2 linked regions of the Astyanax mexicanus genome follow. The protein of the gene in region 1 purifies or fractionates together with the protein of each later gene. This does not show direct contact. Links are inferred from orthologs where the notes say so. Each region holds a gene or a part of one and is shown on either strand. Other genes may lie near its edges. The genes, in order: mlf1 and dnajb6a.

What was found.
Region 2: the proteins of mlf1 (region 1) and dnajb6a purify together in Homo sapiens (affinity purification with mass spectrometry; 3 studies listed by BioGRID and IntAct, counting the BioPlex papers as one, with this or other methods). This does not show direct contact. The link is inferred for Astyanax mexicanus from reciprocal best matches to the Homo sapiens genes MLF1 and DNAJB6.

Annotation. Positions count from the first base shown.
Region 1 is NC_064411.1:42,831,741-42,843,229, forward strand, and holds the start of mlf1 (myeloid leukemia factor 1), read right to left. Parts: upstream 4,708-11,489; 5' UTR 4,560-4,707; coding exon 4,513-4,559; intron 717-4,512; coding exon 554-716; intron 1-553. Other genes in the region: rsrc1 (serine/Arginine-related protein 53), read right to left, coding at 8,367-8,459. UniProt on the Homo sapiens protein: Involved in lineage commitment of primary hemopoietic progenitors by restricting erythroid formation and enhancing myeloid formation.
Region 2 is NC_064411.1:34,552,454-34,564,223, reverse strand, and holds the start of dnajb6a (dnaJ homolog subfamily B member 6a), read left to right. Parts: upstream 1-6,102; 5' UTR 6,103-6,253; intron 6,254-8,675; 5' UTR 8,676-8,711; coding exon 8,712-8,776; intron 8,777-8,932; coding exon 8,933-9,042; intron 9,043-10,552; coding exon 10,553-10,612; intron 10,613-10,866; coding exon 10,867-10,974; intron 10,975-11,742; coding exon 11,743-11,770. UniProt on the Homo sapiens protein: Has a stimulatory effect on the ATPase activity of HSP70 in a dose-dependent and time-dependent manner and hence acts as a co-chaperone of HSP70. Plays an indispensable role in the organization of KRT8/KRT18 filaments.

The sequences.
Region 1 (11,489 bases):
TGATTAACATTACATATCAAACTCCGAAGACAGGTGAGGATTAACTGAGCATTTTAAAATGCAAACTAAATGGCTATATTTGTGTTGCACGCATTACGTCCCTTGGTTCCCATCAATAGCCCTGTAAAGAACTTGAGTTGCTAAATATATTAAAATTGGCCCATATTACATTTTTTTTGCGCTTTCTATTATTTTACGATCCAAATATGGTTGTAATTAATTTCTTGCTACTTTAAACTTTACTAACAGAAATCACTCAGAGCTTTAAAAAACAAAAAACCTCCTGATTTAAACTGTGATTTTATTGTGTGGCACTAAACTGTGGTAAGCTAAACAGGTAGAAAGATGCTAAATACCTGGTTCTCCAGACTTTAAAATTAGACTTTTTTTAAATGGGTTGTTTTTGAAATCTATTGTCCACAAATATTTATATATTTATATATTTATAATTGTATGGACTGGTGGAGTGAACAATAGCCATCTAAATGATTTAATTATACAATCATTTGAAAATTGATGGAATTCCCATGTTAGCTTAGTTTTCAGTACTTACTCTGTGGTCATTATGGATGGCTACGCTGTTGCCAGGATGGGACTCTCGCCTTCGTCCCCTGTCCCGTCCATCTGTGATACTGGGCATAAAGCTGTGGCCAAAGGGATCCGAGAAGCTCCTCATCATTTGTCGTATGTGCTCATTGTGGGCCTGGAATGGATCACTATCAGACAGAGAGAGAGACCAGAAAACGCCAATCAGACCTTTGTTCATGATGAATTAAGTATAGGAGATTGACAAGAAGGAATAAAGGAAAGCCTACCTGTTTGAGCTAAAAGAATAGGAAAGAGAGAGAAAGAGGAAAGGAAAAGCAGGTTTTGAGCAAGTGAATCAACATACGGGATAATTAACCAATTTTACTGAGGCTTCACGCTGCCTGTTATTTCCAATGAGCTTACACTGTTTATTCTTATGCTTTTATACTGGCACTTTATCATGCATTTATACATACTTTTATAGCTCAATGTCAAATATATCTACCCAACTGTTCATCTATTTACCAACCTATACCTATCTACCATCTATCTATATACCATCTGTCTATCCATCTATTTAATTACCTAAACCCATTTACCTATATACCCCTTTGTCTATCCATCTATTCACTCACCTATACCTATTTATATACACATCTATCTATCCATCTATTTACCTACCTATACCTATCTATATAACCATCTGTCTATCCATTTATTAATATACCCACACCTATCTACTAACAATCTATATACCTATCTGCTTATTCATCTCTATCTTGGTTTCACTTCGCAGCCCAATTTTTATTTACCACAACAGTTTGATCAACAAGTAGGCTATTTATCTCTGATGACTAAAGCGCTGCCAAACATACAAAGCCACCATTAAAGCAACACACACACCAACACTCTAAATAGCCCTCTCCACTCAGTAGCAGGCCAAAGTTACTTTGCATATAGGTGCAAAATCTGACAATTACAAGTACATAAATAATACAGCCATTGTGGTGTGTCAGGTCAGACTCACAGGTCCAAAGAAAGGTTTGTAGATGCCTGTGTTCTACTGAAATTACAGTATTAATAAAGAGCTGTCCTATTTATTGATTTATTTATTGATTAATTTAACCCATCGGCTAGCTCTGGATCACAAGTTCCAATTTAAATCAATCCAAAGGAACTGAACTGTGGTGATTAAGAACTCCAGAGAGTTCCACTGTTACACAGTCCAGTGAGATTTGTGCCAATCTATGGGGGGGATGGCAAGGCTGTCTTAGGATCAAGTTTGGTTGCTTTAGAAAGACACAAGCTGTATGTGTGCAACTAAACACCGGTGTTGGCTATGGCTACAACTTAATGTTTACTAAGTTACAGTAACCAACAATAACAAGCGGTGGATACTTCTGAATATACAGCACCAGTCACAAATTTGGACACACCTTTTCTCATTCAAAAATTATTATTTTTTTTTAAATTGTAAATTTCATACTGAGCATGTTTTGTATTTTAGCCACATTTAGCTTTAAGGACAGATTTGCACACTCTTGGTATTTTCTCATTGGCTTTATGAGGTTGAAATAGTTCTCAGTATCTTGGAGTTCCTGGAGGTGCTGAACAATAGTTGCTGCTTTTCCCTCACGCTATGATGTGAAGCTCCAGCTCATCCCAAATCACTCATCTCAGTTGGGTTTAACCCAGCATTCACACTGCTGGGCGATAAGTCACCTCAAACTACCATGTATTTAAGCAATATATCATATAATCATATAACTAAAACTGCAAAGGTATAATCAGAGATTATAAGCCTCTCCTTTCTGTCGTGTTCAGAACCACAATGCTGGGGATATGAAGGATGTATGGTAGTAAGGGTGAAACGATTCCTCGAGTTATTCGAGTTACTCGATTTAAAAAAATGATCGAGTGATTTTCTGTGCCTCGAGTAATCGTTTATTTAATTGAACTCAGCGCGCGGTAATTCGTGCTTTTAATGTGACAGCGCGCTCAGAGTTACGTCACCCGCGCGCAGGAAGGAGGAGCAGGCAGCGGTGGATTTAGTTAAGAAGAGGGTATTTTGAAGCTGCAGGGGGACAGAGCAACAACTTACGAGGAAAAAGGACAATAATAATGCAGCTTTTTTAAGCTGGACAGCGTGTATTCGCTCTGCTTCCCACAACAGCACGTTTTTAATGCTGCACCGTCTTAGCCGAGGACACGTTAGCAGTGGAGCCAATAGAATGTTAATATAACCTATAATTAATCAGTGAGATTAACATGTATGTACCTTAATAACATAACGACAGCGCTGTGGAGCGCTGATTATTAGGAATACTGTCTAATGTGCGGTTAGTTAAAAAAACAAACAGACAATTTTGGACTTAATACAGGCTTTATGTAAGTGAATACAGCGCTGTGGAGTTTTATACTAATACAAGTCACCGGCTTGGTGAGACGAACTGGCAACATCTCTGCTGTTCAGAGGCTAAGATGCACAACATAATGCAAATGTTTATGCCTTTTTTATTGATTAATTAAATTATTATTATCCCTTTATTTCTATTTGTGTTTGCCGTTTGGAAATGTATGTTGTAAATTTAAAAATATAACTTATCTAAAAAAGGAAATCAATTGGTCATTCATTATTAAGTTAAATGTCTTGTTTTTTTCTTGTGTTTTTTAATTACTCTTTAAGCAAACAAATATGTTTTATCCGATTACTCGATTAATCGAATTGATTTTTCAGTAGAGTACTCGATTACTAAAATAATCGATAGCTGCAGCCCTATATGGTAGGAATCAAAAGTTTAAAATAATTCCAAATGTGTCCCTTAATTGTTTTGCTGCGGGTAATTTATTCTACAATGAGTAAATACATTTAATAAAGAAAAACGTCAACTTTCGATTAGTACTATATGGTAACATTTTAACTGGGGATGCACCATGACTTAAATTTTAGGATGGTAGTGTCTGGAGAACTACCTGAAGGTACTGTGTGTATAAACAGTCTTTTTAAATAAACTTTGCACATTTAAAGTTCTCAGGGCCCTCAGAATTCTCCTTAAAAGTGTGAAGCTACTTTAAACTTGTTAATTGTGTAAAAATAGTTATTTCTTTGCAATGGCTATGTCCCACTAGCCAGCTGGGAGCATCGGCTAAAAGAGCTGTATTTTGGAATGCTGGGGATGAACAGAGATGGGCTATTGGATTAAAGTTTGTACTTATTATCATGTTTCACTACAACCCAAGTCAATTTTACACTTCAGAAACCAACACTTGGGAAAATAACCCTGGCGTTATGCATCTTGGCAAGTTCTCCTCCACCAGTCTTACACACTGCTTTTGGATAACTTTACGCCACTCCTCGTGCAAAAATTCAAGCAGTTCAGTTTGGTTTGATGGCTTGTGATCATCCATTTTCCTCTTGTTTATATTCCAGAGGTTTTTAATTGGGTAAAAATCAAAGAAACTCATAATTTTAAGTGGTCTCTTATTTTCAGAGCTTTAAGGTCAGAATACCAAGGAACAGGTAAACATTTGTTTTAGTTATCTGATACTTTATGCTAAAAAAAAACATCTAGCTACAAGTAAACTAGCTAACGTTTAATTAAGTTAGTTAGATAATACATTCTTGAAAAAAGAGGCCTAGCTAGCTAAATGACACACCGTTTGAGGTAACTTTTGAACGCCAACAACGCAAGTTTATGTTTAAAGAAAGTTAAAATAACGCACAGAAAGTTTAGTTCACTTAGTTAGGTTATACAGCAGAGAAATTAAGCCAACTCTAGCGTACACTTGTTAACTAACCTAAATTGGCGTTAAATGTTTGACAAAACCAGTTAGTTGGCTAATTTAACGTTAGATAGTAGTAAGACATTTAAGCTAGTTCGCTTAGCATTTATCTAGTTAGCTAGGTTACTTTAATAACGGGAGCCTGAGAGAGATAGCTGACAGACACAAAAATAAACCTGACAGTTACACTGAGAGACTTACGAGAAGAAAGGGTCCTCGTCAAAATCCCTGAGAAGGCTGTTGAACATTTCCACAGGTTCAGTAGAGCCTAAATAAACTGGTTAATTCAGTTTAATGAGGTAAAATCAGACAGTGACAGTGCCTGAGTCCAGTTAGTCCTGCAGTAACTTAACTCGTCCTTCTCTCCAGCAGAGGCTCTAATGCCGTTTCCATCGTAACTTAAAACACATTAGAGCGCTCGCGTGCCCGCTGAGAAAACCACGTGACCCGCTTTGGCGCTCCTGATTGGCTGGCACAGGTGTCCCCCCCCGCCCCCCGCAGATATCATGGGAGCGCGTGTCCTAGACAGAAGCGGTTTCTAGAAAAAGAAAAGTCTGGAAATTTCTGTCTAAATACTTATATACGCAAATAGAGCTAAAATAAACGTATTATTATTATCATGCTAACCAGTCGTGTTCTGATTAAAGTCTGCCCACCCATTTACTAACACAACACATACTGTACACTGAAAAATAAGCATTTGTTAGCTTTTATATTAACAATATATTTTAAACATATTCTGCCTTTATATATCGACACAATACTAAAATATTCACCGTATTTCAGGAAACACCAACATATTACAGTTATTATGGCTATTAAAAAAGTGGTAATGGTTTTTAAGTTAAAGTATATAAAAACAGTATAATAATGCAGAAGCAACCAGAAATATACTTTTGGTTATGTAAAAATACATATTTGTAAATGTATATAAAAGCTTTATGGGCTATGGACTAATGCAGACTAAACATCTCAATAATAATGATAAAAAACTAAACTATGCAATATGTATGGCCTATAGCCTTTATTAACGAGACGTAAACTACATTATAATAAAAATCTCATCACCAATTTGGGACAAGCCCTGAATCATGGAAATTACTTAACTAAAGTTAAATATATGAATAGGCAGATAGGTATACAGATGTATGGTAGACAGGTAGATAAATAGATGGATAGAGAGATAGGTATATAGATAGATGGTAGGTAGTCATCTTGGAAAGCTATTAAAATGAGTCAGATTTTATTCTGACTTAGGCATAATGAATTAGCTTAAGTCACACTCTTGACATAGGCCATTATCCTAAAGGGGTTAAAACAAATGATCTAAACAGCTGAGGGCATAAACTATTTTACCACAGGCAAAAAATTCAATTTTGCAAATGATAATTATTTTAGGAAGGTGGTGAAAAAGCTCTGTAGATGTACTTAATACTAGAACACTAGAACGCTACAAAAAAACAAGATAAGAGTACATTATCAAACAAACTGTCCTTATCAATACTCCTTTTGTTTAATGCAACCAAATGTCCCAATACTTTTGTCCATATAAAGTATTGATAAGTATTATAAGTACTGATACATACTTCGATCAAGCATAACAGTTTGACCTTGTTCCTAAACCCATTATCCATTTTTCAGCTCCACTAAGCATATAGGAGCACTTTGTAACTGTACAGCATAATTACAATAATTACTGTTGTCCTGTATCTGTTTTTCTTTATCTACTTTATTATTTTTATTATCATCCTTATTTTATCCTGATTTTCTATAATCAGGACCCCACAGGAGAGACCACCACAGAGCAGCTATTATTCATTCACAACAGCACTGGAGTGACACACAGTGGCATAGTATTGATGTGGTAGTATTGTGTGTTGTGTGGTTACAAGTGTATCAGACACAACAGTGCTACTGGAGTTCTTAAACACCTCTGTGTCACTCACTATCTGTGCAATTAGACACACCTACCTATAACTGCGCTACCTTGTAGATGTAAATTCACAGGTTGTTGTCCACACTATTCTCAGATCAGCAGTGACACTGAGGATTTTTTAAACTCCATCAGCACTATGTGTAGTTCTGGTATATTCTAACTGCATTTATTTGCCCTCTTTGTATTGTACTAAACATATTCTGTGTTTATAAATAATTATGTAATGTACAAAATATAATGAACATTTAAATCAATAAAAATGTAAATGATAACTTACCAATTGACTTAATGACCACTTTTTTCACTTATTGTAAGAAGAATTAGGGCTGATTTTAGACACTGTCCAAATGAACAGTGGAAGAGGTCCTGTTGTCATCATATCTACTTAAGGAAGTGTGAAGGATGCCTGTAAGAACATCCAGCAGGCAGGAGTGGGAGCTGCTGCTATTGGACACCCTGGCATCTGCCAGCCTGCTGTAAGATTGACCATCTGCTTGTGGGCACACATACACTGATAGGGGGTACACTTGTGTAAATATACAATCACACATAATCTAGTAAACATGCAGAGGAGCACACACACATAATGTATAGGAATCCATATGTTAGCTAGCACACATGCAAGTACACACACACACGTACACATACACACACCTAGCAGCAACCATGACCTCTGTAGAACAGCCATTAACAATCTTAACACCTAATTTCTTTATAGACTTTACCTCAACATGTCCAGGGCAGGAGCAGGACATTTCCGCAAATAGAGCCGAGCTGCAGAAGGTCCATCTACACTGTCTGAAAATAGATCTCAAGGCTGGACATCAGACCAAGGCCTACACAAGGCCTACTGCTGTCTCCACTGCTGACCATGAAGCCCGTTGATCTCAATGGCTTCTGTGATTTTACCCTGACCCTGACCTGAGAGTTAATCACACAGGACTTCCAGAAAACAGAAAAACAAACAGTGTATAAACATTATTACACCATTAAAACAGCAATTTTATTTAATTTTTGTAGAAAGTAAACTCAAAACAATAAAACAACACAACAATGCTGTGGAATACAGCATTAATAGCATAAAATGAGGGAAAATACATGTAGGTGTTCACTTACATATGGTTCTCCTGTTGGGCCACTATTCATTAGGCTGTAAAGTGACATTAATTATAAATCATAAAAGTTTTGCACCATTTGAAACATAATTTGGTTTTGAATTTGATCACAATGTAAGGTAATGAGATTTTAATAAACAGAACAACAAAAATCAACATGTAATAATAATAACAACAACAACAACAACAACAGAAAACAAGAACCCAGTGAAGTGGATCTTTTTTTTGCCTTTAATCAATCATCAAAACATTAATACAAATGTGAATACATCGTCATATCACAGTATTATGATCATCTGCTTGTTTCCACACTCATTTTCCGTTTTTTTTTTTTTTCACTTTGTAGTAATACAGATAATTTAAATGTAGTAATACTATAATAAATACAGCCTGTAGACATGGTTTCTTTGCATACTTTATTATTATCCTCCTTTCACCCTCTTTTTCAATTATCAGGACCCCACATGATAAACCCACACAGAGCAGCTATTATTTGGGTGGTGGGTTATTCTCAGCACTGCAGTGACACACAGTGGCATGATGGTGATGTGTTAGTGTGTGTGTTGTACTAGTAAGGGTGGAGAATTAAAAAACCTCAGAAGTGTGTGGTGTGGTGGTCCTCTGTGGTCCTGAGTCTGTTATTATAGAATTACACAATGCTCCTATATGCTCAGTGGAGCCGATCAAATGGACAATGAGTATAAAAAAAAAAAAAAAAAAGATGGGGTCATAATATTTTGATCTGTTACATTGATCAGAATTTACTGAAAACACCTCACTTTAAAAGTCACATTCCAGTGGTTGTCACATTCTTTCAGATTCCTATAATTTTGCAGCATTAGTTTGACATACTGTCGCTGCAACTATACTATACATCCAAAAATAAAAAATCTAAAGTTTAAAAAGCCTTCAAATTATTCTTCTATTTCCAACAGGCATGTGGGTCTACTGAGTATAAAAAAAATAAGTTGAATGTGTCCGAGATGCTGGTTAGAAAGGTGTGGTCAGGAAACTGGACTCCCCATCAGCCTCTCCTGACGCAGAGACAGCAGTCGATTCAGCCACAGCTTCTCTGCTTCTTCTTTGTCTATGAACAACTGCAAGAGAATCACAGGGTCAGTGAACAGTTTGATTCTTCAGCTTTATCTCTCTTCTCTCAGGTGATGTGGAATCAGTTCTGTCTGAGCTTCACTCCTTTAAACAGAACTGATTTATACTAGTAAATCTGTGTATAAATCAAGTTAAGCAGTTGCAGAAATTGTTCATTTAACTATAATTTCACATGATATGTTTATAGAATATTTAATGTTCTGGTTAAGTTCAAATTTAAAACTGCATATTACATTACACTGTCTAACTTCAGATCAAATTAATTTGTCATTTTAAATGTAGAAATTAATTTTTCCAATGAAATTCATATTTTGAACATGACTATTATTATTATAGCTATGGATTATGACATTAATAATGATGATAAACTACTAGGAGAGTTGCAGTCCAGTGGATCAAACCACAGTATTAAAATGTTAGTAAAAAGCACTTTAAAAAGATGGTATTTTCACTTGCTACAGTTACTAACTAGTTTGATTCTTTTAATTGTATGATTTACAGTAATGCCAGGTTTTTGGTTTAGTAATGTTTCATTTTTTCCCATTTCCACCAAATGGTCTGCTGCATGAAAAAGATTGGATAGTCTGATATGTAAATTTTATATATCTTATAATTTTACTTAACATGAGAGGAGACACCTCAGAGACTGTTCAGTGTTTTCTTGATAATCCAAAAGGCTCTGCAGACCGACAAAACAACCACAAGATGGCTCACTAGAGCTGTTTTGTTCGTATTCTAATACAGAGAAATATTACATTTTGGGCATCATGTTGAGAATATTTGTTGGTGTAAATTAACAAAAATAATAGATTACCTGGTTTACGAAAGTTAAAGTTAGCGACAAACAAAAATATATAATATAATAAGCAAGACTGAGTGATTTTCAGGCATTTCTTTCTGCAAAAGACTAATAGTTTTGAGGCTGCTCAGATCAGGCTACTGTGATTGTGGATTTTACGGAGTGTTTAAAATATTATGCAGCTGTAAAATCTGTAGAAGGTCATTTGGACATACAGTGCATTTAAAAATAATATTTTTAAGCAAATTTATGTAAAAACTGATGTGTAAAAATATTAAAACTTTAAATTCTAGTAAAGTGATCAGTGGGTAGTGATGTTTTTGAACCCAATACACTAAAAAAACAAGGTGTATACATTGACATTACATTAATATTACCAATAGTCATGGGATAGCAGTATGCAAAGTGATCATGCAGTGCTTCTTTAGAAGACAGCTTGGGTTGGCTTGAATGCCCACACCTGTATAAGCTGTGAGGTGTTATCTTGTGAGTGAGGTGTAAAATCTGTCATGGCCAGTGTGCTCATTACAAGCTGACGATGTCACATGTGTACTGGGAATACATCATAGAAGGCATTACTACCATCCACTGTGCTGTCCACTGTGGGTGGAAGTAATGCCTTCTATGATGTATTGTGACTGGCTGTGTCTGGCTAGAAGTGTCAATGCTTAAAAAAATAACAACCACACTCAAAGCAGAAGGTCCCGCACACATTTCAATCGAACAGGTCAACGCAGCGGTATTTAGCTTGGGACCATGGGACATATAGTAGCAACGGTCATCGATCATGTTACTAATTCCTTTCCTATGACATTTTGACGTATCAGTGTATAATGCCTCTTTCTTAACATTTATTAACTCTTTATGTGGCTCTTTATCAACTAATGTTTAAACATATTATAAGTAGGAACTGTCTCCTTGCAAGCTGCTGGTTGCTGCTGGATTGATGACCTGCTCAACAGATGATTCTGTATGTTATTAATGTGCATATTACACTCATTATTTTTTGTGTCTGTGTGTTTTGCATATACAAATGGAGAAATGAAAAACTAATTTCCTCTATGGCAGGAAATAAAGTTAGTCTGTCTGTCTTATAGCAAACGGCGAATGCTTCATTAGGCTTATTCACTAAGCCTGGCTTGAGTTCAGACTGTCTATTCATATTCAAAGTACAGTGATGGACTCGAAATTTAAATTCCCTACATGTGCTCCTCCTAACATTGACATCACTTGTAATCTACTTAGGGTCTGGATTTGGCCGAGCTCCGCTTAATGGTATCATAGACCGCACAGATCCGAAGTCAGTGTAACCCATTAAAACAAATGTTTTGTATTGTTTTCTTAATGCGTGCCAGTGCTGGTCTCTAATTGTCTGAGCTGGCTTAATATGAGGCGCTCGCTGGGTTTTGATTCGATTTGGAAAGAGAGGAGCGAGGGAGAGGCTAAACGGCGCTGTATCATAAGCACATACGACAGCGTAATGCATAAGAGTGATTTGGGTGTCAGCGTGAAAGCAGGGATTTGAGTGATTCCCACATTAGTTGGGCTTATGAGTTCCTTAAGTTTGGAAGTTGGAGACTCTTCGCAGACGCTCATCAGTCTTTACTTTCATCCAAACAACACGAAAGGCGTGAAATCAAATCTGCGCCTGGGAAAAGACTGATCACTTCCATCCGTGCGTGTGTGTGTGTGTATATCCGTGAGTGTGTGCATGCGAGTGTGTGTGTGGCGGGCTCCGGGAGAGGAGATAAGTGTATCATTTATGTCGAGTTAAAGCCTGCCTGTAGCTTTCGCTGTAGGGCCTCCTCTTTGTCACTGGAGCCCACATCAAACACGTGCATACACACCCGGTAATGGCCTCCGGACGCATGTCGCCCGCTTCCTTGTGTGTTATCTGTGTGTAGGAGCTTCCGCGACACACGCCAACACGGCCTCCCTGCTAACGGAGCAGCGCGTGGCTAACGAGGTTGAAATTACAGTAGATACAGTATAGCGGCAGCAGCGGCGGTGGGCTAAATGATTGAATCATTACTGCCGATGGGGGCTCCCGCGCCTTGGGCATATTGCTCCCATAGATCAGCTCCGCTCCGCTCATCTGCATCCGTCACACGTAACCCAGTTTGCGGCGCCGCCGAGACGGGGAGATCTTTCGCGGGGAATTTCTGTCCTCTGATATTACAGACAGGGAGTGGTTAGGGACCTGTCAGAAAGTGGAGCC
Region 2 (11,770 bases), about 8.3 Mb from region 1:
AAAAGGACACTTGGAGATGTCCAAAAGAACACTTGGAGATCTCCAAAAGGAGCCTGGAGATGCCCAAAATGACACTTGGAGATTTCCGAAAGGAAGCTGGAGATGCCCAAAATGACACTTGGAGATCTCCGAAAGGAAGCTGGAGATGCCCAAAATGACATTTGGAGATGCCCAAAAGGATACTTGGTGATGCCAAAAATAACACTTGGAAATCTCCAAAAGGACCCTGGAGATGCCCAAAATGACACTTGGAGATCTCCGAAAGGAAGCTGGAGATGCCCAAAATGACATTTGGAGATGCCCAAAAGGATACTTGGTGATGCCAAAAATAACACTTGGAAATCTCCAAAAGGACCCTAAAGATTCCCAAAATGACACTTGGAGATGCCCAAAATGACATTTGGAGATGCCCAAAATGATACTTGGAGATGCCCAAAATTACACTTTGAGATGCCAAAAATGACACTTGGAGATGCCCAAAATAACAGTTGGAGATGCCAAAAATGACACTTGGAGATGCCAAAAATGACACTTGGAGATGCCCAAAAGCACAAAGAGAGATACCAGAAATGACACTTGGAGGTGCCCAAAATGACCCTGGATATGTCCAAAATGACATTTGGAGATTCCCAAAAGGACACTTGGAGATGCACAAAAATGACACTGAGATATGCCAGAAATGACACTTGGAGACGACCAAAAGTACACTTGGAGATGCCAAAAAGGACACTTGCAGACGCTTAAAAGGACACTTGGAGATTACCAAAAGGACACACGGTAATCTACTAAGGGAAATTCAGAGCACCTGGGGATGCCCAAAAGGACAAATGGAAGCCCCCAAAATTTACATTTGGACATGATCAAAAAGATGCTTTGAAACACTCAAAAGGAGAATTTAAGCACTTGGCGATGTCAAAATTCACACGTGGAGATTCCTGAACAGACATGCAAAAAGGAATACTTGGATATGTCCAAAATGACACTTAAAAAATCCCAAAAAGATACTTGAAGAATCACATATTGGCAGGTAGCACCCCAAAAAACACACCAACCTGCACATCTTACAGGAGCCCCACATTAAATGTCATTTCTTATTACAGCATAAGTGGATACCTGAAAATGCTCAAATGGACACATAGAGATCCCCAAAAGGATAGTTGAAGAAACTTGGAGATGCCTAAAATGACAGTTAGAGATGCCCAAGGATACTTGAAGATCCATAAAGGGGCATTCTGTGTGGCACTGCTGACCAAGTCAAAAAATCCTTTTTTGTTGACTTAACCATCCTTTTTAGAATTGCTCCATACTCCGAATAATAATTAGCATTGTTATAATGCTGAGCTACGTTCATCTGGCTGCTACACTTCTTACTGCACTGTGCTAGTCAAGTACTAGCGACTCCTATTTCCTGTATTGCATTGCCAATGTGAGTAAAGCACGAAAAAACCTTCTGATGTCCTCCCCCTGCAGTTCTCTTTTCTCAGGAACATCTGGCTTGCTTTGTTCTCTGTTGCACATCTGTGTGTTTTTCCTTTTTATTCATGCAGAAGGCCTAAGCACCAAGTCAAAAGTACCATAATCACAAAGCAAGAAGTGGGCAATATACCACTGGCATCCTCTTACGTACCAGTTCAGTTCAGAAATGCAATATATTGGTCTACTGACTTGTATCTAAACATATTACATTAAGGGGTTTAAATTTAGCTCTGTTTCTAAATCAGTTTCTCTGATTTTGCTATTTATAGGCATATGTTTGAGTAAAATGAACATTGTTGTTTTATTATATAAACTATGAACAAAATTTCTGCCAAATGCCAAATAAACATATTGTCATTTAAAACATTTATTTGCAGAAAACAAGAAAAACAAGTTCAAATTCATAAAGATTTATGGGTTCAGAAATCAGTATTTGGTGCATCTTTTCATGCATCTTGGCATGTTATCCTCCACCAGTCCTACACACTGCTTTTGGATAACTTTATGCCACTCCTGGTGCAAGAATTGAAGCAGTTCAGCATGGTTTGATGGCTTGTGATAATCCATTCATAATAATTTCTCTTGATTATAGTCCAGAGGTTTTCAATTTGGTAATATCAAAGAAACTCGTCATTTTTAAGTGTTCTCTTATTTTTTTTTCTATACCATTAAAAGAGCGAAGTATTTCAGCAACATATTATACAGTATATATACAGTATACAGGATGTGATTACATTTAAACATTTTATATGTGTAATTTCAGTATTGTTTTTAGACTTTGTGCTTTATTTAATTGAGGCACTGTGAACAACTCTAGTAATACAAGTGTAGAGTAATTTAAAGATTGAATGCTGTAGTTTTAAACATTTTAAACATTAACACTTTGTCAATTTTATAAACATTGGGTCTGTTTTCGTAAAAACTAATTATGTCTGCTTTAGCCTTGCTTTCATCTTTTTTACGTGCCCATGCTACCTGGATGTGTAGTTAACATGAAGCAGCAGTCTACGCTTTTTGACTCCCTCTCTTTTTAAGTTTTTATGGACGAATGATCAGTCACAGGAACAGCTTCCACTAAATAAAAACACAGCGCTGAGTAACACACCACAAAACACCACAAAATAAAAAGAGCACAGATGGGCTTCCCTAAGCAGCTGTAGCTGTGCGACAGTACGTGCTGAAAGCCAAAGGCTAGCTTCCTTCATCTGCAGTTCTATAGCTGTATATTCTATGTATTAAAGCAACATGTGGTTCGAATCTGATAGACAGTGCACACAAACTTGTCTCAAATGTTGGTTGGTTGTGTTTTGTTGTCTGAAGTTAGCTTTCTCTAATTTTACACTGGCTTTATAAGGCTAATGTTGTTAGCTACCAGATAATGGCTAATTGTGTACACTGATTAGCATCATACAAACTGCATGGCTCAATAATTAATGTGTTGTGTTGTATAATGTCAAATAGACTCGCTTATGTGTTTTAATATGTACTTTTTGGTCAAGAATCAGACAAAATATGTGCATGTTAGTAAGCTAATATTAACTAGCCCTGTATGGCATGATGTTACCCTAAGGCAAATCTGCGGCATATCTGCGTCCAATACAATGATACATACAAGTGGGTCATAAATAAAAATATGTGTATGTTCAATGATATTTAAAGAATAGTAATTGGCTGTTTATATTCATACTATATTCTTACATTCTTGTTGTACTAAAACAAGGTTTTTCATTTGCTTCTTTGGGAAACATTATGTAGATCCCTTTTTTATAGCTATGATGATAAAGCAGTGGTAAAATAAAAGTGTCTTCAAGTATATATTTTAAGGTATACTAAACATACATGAAAAAGTACATGATTTTTTAAAATTAAAATATGTACTTAAGTGCATATTAAATGTACTATTTTAGAACAATGTATGGCAAATTAAAGATACTTCAATTGTAATTACACTATATTTAAACACAATGCAAAAGCATTAAATTGTGCTTCTGAGTGCTAACGTAGATTCAAGTATGTGTTTTTAAACACTTTTTTTAATACACTTGATATTGATGCACATATTGTGTACACCTTAATGCTACTGGGGGGAAAATACACTAAAGTGCACTTTAAGCAGTATTTAATGCCACCATATATATATTCTATCAACACCAGATATGATTTAAAGCATTTCTCAAAAAATAAATTTGATGGAAATACAGAGAAAGTATATTTTATGTTGTATTTTTTTTTTAATATTATATTGATAATGCACTTTTAGTATTCTTTATCTAATTTGAACATTTTTTTATGCTCTTAAGTTTAGTTCCTTTTCACAAGGGGATTCAAATAATCAAAATAAGCAATTATGTAAAAAGATCTCTCAAATAGTGGTGTGATTTTTATTCTTCCCAAAATATAAAATATAATCCATGCCATAGAGGGTTAATAAAAAGTAACAATAAAAGTGAATAAACACATTTTTCCCCCATTTTGTTAATGTGAAAGTGGATATATCTGTCTGAGTCACATTAAAAAGTTTATAAAAGTTTTCAACTTAATTTCCTTATATGTGCAGTGTACAATTTTAAAATTTGTTAATAACTCACATATTGCTAAATTTCTGAAAGGTAAAGACGGATTTATTGGCAAAAAAGGTTTTATTTCGTTTTATTTAATATCTGTTTTATTTATTCATAATAATTCACTATATGTTCTACAGTGTTGGAATTTTGTAAATTGTATTATTTTCACACAATATAGTAATATATTACTAGTTTACAATATTGTATAACTGTAAAATGCAAAAAAAAAAGCTTATCTTATGTTTAAATGCAGCTAGCTAAATGAAGTTTGCTACAATAGTAATGAAGCTTTGTTTTGCCCAGAAATAGACTTCCTTTATTGTTTCCTGTGGAGAAATAACCTCTCATGGTGATAAGGACTGAACCTGTGCTGCTGCTTGAATCAGCCGCAGCATCTGGACTGTGTAAAGCATGAGCGTGTTCAGGGACAAAGCACTTGCTGTTGAGCTGTTTTACAACCCAGCGTAACTAGACACAGATGAACCTTTGAGCAGAAAAGCAGCACCTGTTTCCTCCACTCTTCTTTAACTGAACCAGATCTCTAAAATCTTGCGCTAAATGGGTTTTTTAACATCTTGATTTCCGGCAAATTCCATTCAGTCATTGTCAGTGGCTAGAGTTTTGTATTCCTTTAATGTGTCTGTTTCTGTACTGTATTTTAAAGAGTAGGGCTACACTGTCCTTTAAAGAGCCACTACTAAACCCTAACCCATATTTTTTCCATTAATATCTGAATTGTGTTTCTATGAAGTAATAAAATATACCAGTCCTGCTTATTTTTTTAAACATTTCCTAAACTTTAAAAAACATTTTCATTGTAATCATTTCCGCCTCTGCATTGCCCCCACAGTTTGAACTGTGCTATAGATGAGGATGATGTGTCTGTGTATTTTTGGTACGCAGACACATCACAATATGCAGATCAATCCATCAATAATACCACCCCCACGCTGATATCAAACTAGCTGAGTCTCACACTGCTGCTACTGCAACTTAGCCAATCAGCTCTCCTTCCTCTAAACCCATACATCACCCAGTGCCTCGCCCAATCTACCCCTCCCATTTTTTTCCCATTTTCAAATTTGAGCTGAGGCCGGAGTCAGCAAAAATCAAGGGGTTTTGTGCCCCTTCAAAAGTGTAGGACTCTCTTTATAAAATGAGAATTTCAGTAAGTATGACAAAATTAGGCTGGGTATACACTGACATGCTGAAAGTCATGGGATAGCAGTTTGTAAATTGATCATGAAGTGTTATCTCAAGTTGTGAGGTGTTATCTTGTGAGTTAGGCTTAACACTGGCCAGCAAGCTCATGGCAATGTTATTATGTTATATGTTATATTATATTATCTTATGCATTCTCATCGTATTATCATCGGAGATATGATTCCTCTAAGGCTTGGAAATGAATAGGTGTGTATATGATGATGCAGGATTGTGCAGAACCAACAGAGGGAGCCCTTTACCTTAACTTACAAACCCTTACATCAACGTTTCAGAAATAGGAGGATTAAAATAAATATGTAAGGGTGAAAATGTGTAAATGTGTAAATACATGAAAGAAAAGTTCATATAGAGAACTCATTTCCACAGATTTTAAATATATATATATATAATTACTTAAATATATTATTTTTAATGCAACTATAGTTTAGCGCATACATGTTTTAGTTACGACATTGTTTATGTTATGTATATTAATTAAATTCAGCAGATACACAGTTTTGTTTTAAGGCTACGTATAACGTATACTGTTTGTATGTTTCTTGTAGGAGATTTACTCAATTATTTTCACTTAGGATTTCAATCAGTTTGCTTTTTGTACAGGATGTGTCCCAATACACACACTTCTCCACTTCACGTACTTCAGTAATGCGTGTACTTACTGAACACAGCCTGTAGTACAGTATAAAAGTGTAGTATGGTTATGATCAATATAAAAGTGTGTATAAACATTTCTCAATCATACCGGAATGTTGTTTGAAGTAGGAATGTGAGATTTGGGACACAGCCGGATCCTTACAGGACGTTGCGCCATAAACCAGCAGCAGGTTAATCAGCTACATAATCGGACACAGCGCGCATGCGCAGAGGCAGTGTAGAGGCGGTGTTTCGTTGTATTAAGAAGTACATCTGAAAAACAAGCGGGTTTAAAAGGATATACTCAAAGAAGCGCCGCTCGCAGAGGCCTGTACCTGCCGCGGGCAGTCAGAAAGGTATGTCACGGTGTGAACATTATACCGGGAAGGTCCGTTTTTAAAGCTGTTTACATAAAAATTCGCCTGTTTGGTGGGGCGAGAAGGAAGCTAGCTAGCTAGCTTACCTTAGCTAACGCTAACTGGCTAATGCTGCATAGCGATGATATTATAGCTAGCCTACTAGCATAGCATAACTAACGATGCAGTCTGTGTTTTCGCTCTGTAGCTAATTAGCTAAACAGTAATTCCGTGTATTTTACATGTGGTCAGTGGGTGTGTGTTCGTAAATAAGCATAAAACACATTCTGTGAGCGCATTATTGTTTGGATAGAGCTATAAAATAAGAAATTCATCCACCCGTGAATCTCCTGTGAGCTCTGTAGCTAGGGCTGTGTTGATAGATACTTAGCTAGGTAGCTAGCTAACAGACAGACAGGCAGATAAATAGATTAGATACTTTATTAACTATAAGGCATTTAGCAACCAGAGTTAGTAGTTTCACAACACAGCACTGGTTGTGGATGAAAATTTAATGAAAACTAGTGTTTTCATTTAATAGTTCAGATTGTATTGTACTACTGTAAACAAGATGATATATTATCATTGTTTAAATCTAATTTTAGGAAAACTCTCCTAGTTTATGGATTTATAGAATCTGGGTAAAAGAAAAAGTTGCTTCTTATCCAATCAGAATAGTGGTATCTAAAAACAGACTACAACACTGTCATCTAGTTGGGCAGGTTTAAGGACAACACAACACGAAATAAACCACTGTCTTGAGACACCAATACTGTGTTTGTGTTGACCATTGATACAGTATTGCAAAACAAAATAACAAATGTAATGATAACTTGATATATTACTGCGTTATTATGGGTTAATGTTCATATTCATACTAAAAGAGAGAACTTCTTTTTTTCAGAACAGTGCTCCATTTAACCAGGCTTGGCAACTGTCATACACATTTTCTTTGTCCGACCTAACATCTGTGTTATTAGACTGAAATTACTAGTTTTAAAATTACAAAATTCACCAACTCAGCAAGCACATAGACTTCTTTTCAAAACTGTGAGATTACTTTTCTGTTTCTAATTACTGAGTGTGTGTGGTAATGGCTCAGATATGTTACAGATTCAGCATCTGAAGATTAGGAGGTGCTGAAAATCGTAGACCCTGTCTAGATTGTACCCTGAAGGGATTTAACCACCTGTTTACACGTGGTTGTCAAAAGCATGTCCAATCTGAATGCTGTGTATGATAGCCTACGCAAAATAGTTTGTTACACTGCAATTATTAGTCAATTAGGGTTGTTGAGTGTGTCTTGAAGAGATGGATGTGGCTTAAATGCATCTCAAACCACCTCCTTCAGTGGTCAGATTTGTGTGGCTTGGCCTTATCCAGATATAATACTCATAATATACTCATAACACACAGAGTAACCAGGTATGAACAGCATATTGGCTATATAAAGGCTCATCTCACATTTGCCAACAAGCATCTTGATAATCCTCAGGAATTTGGGAAAATATTATGTGGACTAATAAGACAAAAGTGGAACTCTTTGGAAGATGTGTGTTCCATTACATTTGGGACACAACTCGTTGAGAAAAAAGTACTCAAAGCCAAGTGTGGTGGTGGTAGTGTGATGGTTTGGGGCTGCTTTGCTGCTTCAGGACCTGGACAACTTGCTGTAATAGAAACATTAATTCTGCTCTCTATAAAAAAAATGAAGGAGACTATCCGGGCAATAGTTTGTTGCCTTAAGTTCAGGCATGCTTGGGTTCTGAAGCAAGACCAAAAATTCCTCCACAGAGTTTAATTATCAGGTATCCCCACCAAGCATTTACCCCCTTTAAAAAACAAAACAAAAAAAAAACCTAAGTATAACAAAGAAAAAAATCTGTATGGGGCAAATACTTTTTTTCATGCCACTGTATATCTGACACATCTTTCTGAATAGTTAATACTCTTAAACTGACTTGTATATGCAAAAGAGTAATACTTCACACGAGGTTTCAGTTTTGTCTTCGCCACTCTCAGATGCTGTCATGCTTGATTTCCAGAGGCTGACAGCCATGCTTATTGTTGAGAATGTGTGTAAAAAGGGCACGTTATTTCGCCATGCCTACCTACATTTTCTTTTGTTATTTTGACCGAATTCAGTATGTACAGAATTTCAAATTTCCCTGTTTTAAAATAATGTTGTAACGATTGTTTGCTTAAGAAAAAAACAATTATTTATGACCACTTCTCATTTTAGTTTTTAGTCACCTTGTTCTATTTATCAGGTTTATTTTTTCATTAATTTTAAATGTCTCTGAAGATGTTTGCTTTTTTAAAATTCATTTTAGTTTTTCTTTGGTGTTTCCTGTACTGTATGCTTCATTCCTTGTTTTCTTTATTGAGACACATCAATTTAAATGTTTGTATTTCATTTTAGGTCATCAAAGCTTGATCAGAAGGTACGTGTAAAGCCATGGTGGAGTATTACCAGATTTTAGGAGTGCAGAAGACTTCGTCTCCAGAAGACATAAAGAAAGCGTAAGTGTCTTTTTACCAGATAATAGAAACAGAACAAGTAAGAGAATAAAAAACTGAAACTAAACATTATTGTGGTATTTCCTGTCTTTAGTGACTTAAGAACTGAACTTTTGGGCTTGGTTGTAATTGTGTTTTTTTTATTCTGTTTAATTGTAGGTACAGAAAACTAGCTCTAAAATGGCATCCAGATAAGAACCCAGACAACAAGGACGAGGCTGAGAAAAAGTTTAAAGAGATCTCTGAAGCTTATGAAGTCCTTTCAGATGGTAAGATATGGTTAATTGTGTTAATTGTGAAGCATCAATATGTCTAATATCAATGAATGTAAAAGGAGACCAGCTGTGCCTGTAGGTTTTTTCAGTTCAGGACTGGGCACAGTTTTATTGATCTAACCATACTTGCAAGGTCAAAAATCCTAACACATTTTATTCAGTTATGGTATTTTTGTCCATGCAATCTTAAATTTCAATATTTGATGTAGTTTTATGATGGATAATTTTTTGTTTAAAAATACACACGAATGCCATAGCTTTTAAGAAGATTTATGGACTGTTAGAGAGTTTGTAGTTTTAAACTAACCCTTATTAATCATTAGCTGTGTATGCAGTTTTACAATTGTTGTTGCATTTTGCAAGTTACAGGAGAATCTTTGGTACTTACCTGCACATTTTTGTGAGTTTACTGCTCTGATACAGCACTGCAACACTTAAAGAGCTTGTGTCTGATCTAATAAAATATGCAGGAAGGTTGCCTCCAGGACCAGGGATGAGAAACACTAAGCTACCAGAACCAGTATTTGGCACACTGCTCTACACATTTATAGTGCTTCCCTGCTTTCAATGCACCTGGTCCAACAAATCCAACCAGATCAACCTTAACAACCCTTTACTGATCAATCTCGGGGCTCATATTGACATAATTAAGGGATTGTGGTTAAAATAAACACAATCGTTTTATTACTGATCCAGATTCCAGCCCACAGTTTGTGCTTGACCATTTACGAGCCTTAGAGTTAACACAGGCACATCACCAATCCAGATTCCTGTTCAGTAGTTTACTGTACCTTAGCTGTTGGTTTAAGTAAAATGTTTTTTTTTTTTGGAGATATTTTAGTCTGAAAATGCTGAAAATCAATACAGTAAAGCCACAGTAAAGAGGGTTGGAGGTACGGCTGTCAATTAATTAACCCATTTAATCAGCATCTTCTGGGAGTTCATCTGAGACAACCACTCAATCACGCTTTCTAAAAAACTTTAGCAGTCGACCCAAATAATAAAGGGATTACAGAGAAGTAGCCAATTTTATATTATACTCAGCAACAAGTTACTGATTACATGTATTTACATATATGTTTGCCAATGTGTACATGCTGTGTGCTCTGTTTTAGCCTACCCTCATGATGTGACCTTAAGCACAACAATATAATAGAATATATAAAAATGAGACAAGCGCTTGTATTAGAATTAGTATTGGTATCTGCTTTTGTTTATTAGACTCGGATTGGAACTAAAAAGAAGTGTATCTGCTCACCACTATAGTAAAAAATGAATTGCGGTATGTCCCCAGGACTAGGGACGGTAAGCACTGAGCTAAAGCAGCGGGAACTAATGGTGGTCTTAAACAGTGGGTGTCAGTTCTTTGATTTTCTGTGCATGAGTCAAATATTGTTGCATCGTGTTACAGCGATGTCTTTTCTTTCTTTTTTTTTTTTTGTTAAAAAAAAATCATTTTGTCATTTTAAAATGCCTTTTAATCTTTTTCTTTTTTGTTCTACAGCCGATAAGCGAAGTCTTTATGATCGGTATGGTAAAGAAGGCTTATCAGGAAGGAGTGGAGGTATGTTAATATCTTAAGTTAACTATATTTTTAATTGATTATAACAATATTACATAAAAAAAAAACTTGTGTTTCTGTATTTAGTTTTTATAATATTGGTCTGAAACGGTTCAATTGTACTGGCACAGCATTGCATTGATTCTCTTGGCTCAGCTGTAAAATAATACTGTAGATTTCCTGTAATGTTTATCATTAAGTAGAACTAGCAGACATGCTTGTGTTTCATTTTCTCTCTGTTTCTCTCTGCTGTATAGGAGGACATTATCATAACGGTGATCCCTTTGAAGGATTTACATTCCGCAATCCAGAGGACGTTTTCAGAGAGTTCTTTGGTGGTCAAGATCCCTTTGCTGATTTCTTTGGTAAGTCAAATGTAAAAATGAAGTTTTTATGCACTATAGTCACAATTTCAGTTTATGTTTTGTGTTTAACTTATCAGAAAAAAACATGCTTTTCCACATCACTGTTTATAGTTAAAGAAACCTTAGCATTATGTTTTCTGCAGTAACTTATAACAGGATCAGGATGTCTCATCAGATATTCTCATCAGGAAACATGCTGAGTTTAAGCACTGGCAGCTTGGGACAGCAGAGCTTCAGACAGTATTTTATTTTTTGAACTGTGCATTCCGCCACGGAAGTCTGTTTGGAATTTAGCCTCTCATTCTGCCCACCGCCATTCCTCCAGCCCCATTTCCACACTCAGGTTTGCCAGGTATAGACAGCATTAGCCATGGAAATGGGCAAGCGGTCTATTTTTCTGCTGAACAGGTAATCACTGAGTTTCAGTAATATTGCTAACCATATTTATCACCACCAGACATTCAACTGTATATTTTCACTGATTAGCTACAGAGTAAAACACATTGTTGTTTGCCATTATGTGTCAATTTGGCAACCGACATGAGCTTTGCATCTGTGGAAGAGCGGGTGGGGCAGAAAACTATCCAGCTGTTTTGGACTCCTAACAATTTCAGAAACTCACTTGCATTTACAACTGGTTGTTCATTTAAAGCTCTTCACTTGCAGTTTTATATTTGAAGTTTGAAAGAAGAAGGCAATAGCAAATATAATTCAGGTGCTGACTTACATGATTTGATTTGTAATTAAATCTATTGTGTCTTTGTGCAGGTGGTGGTCCATTTAGTGATGATTTCTT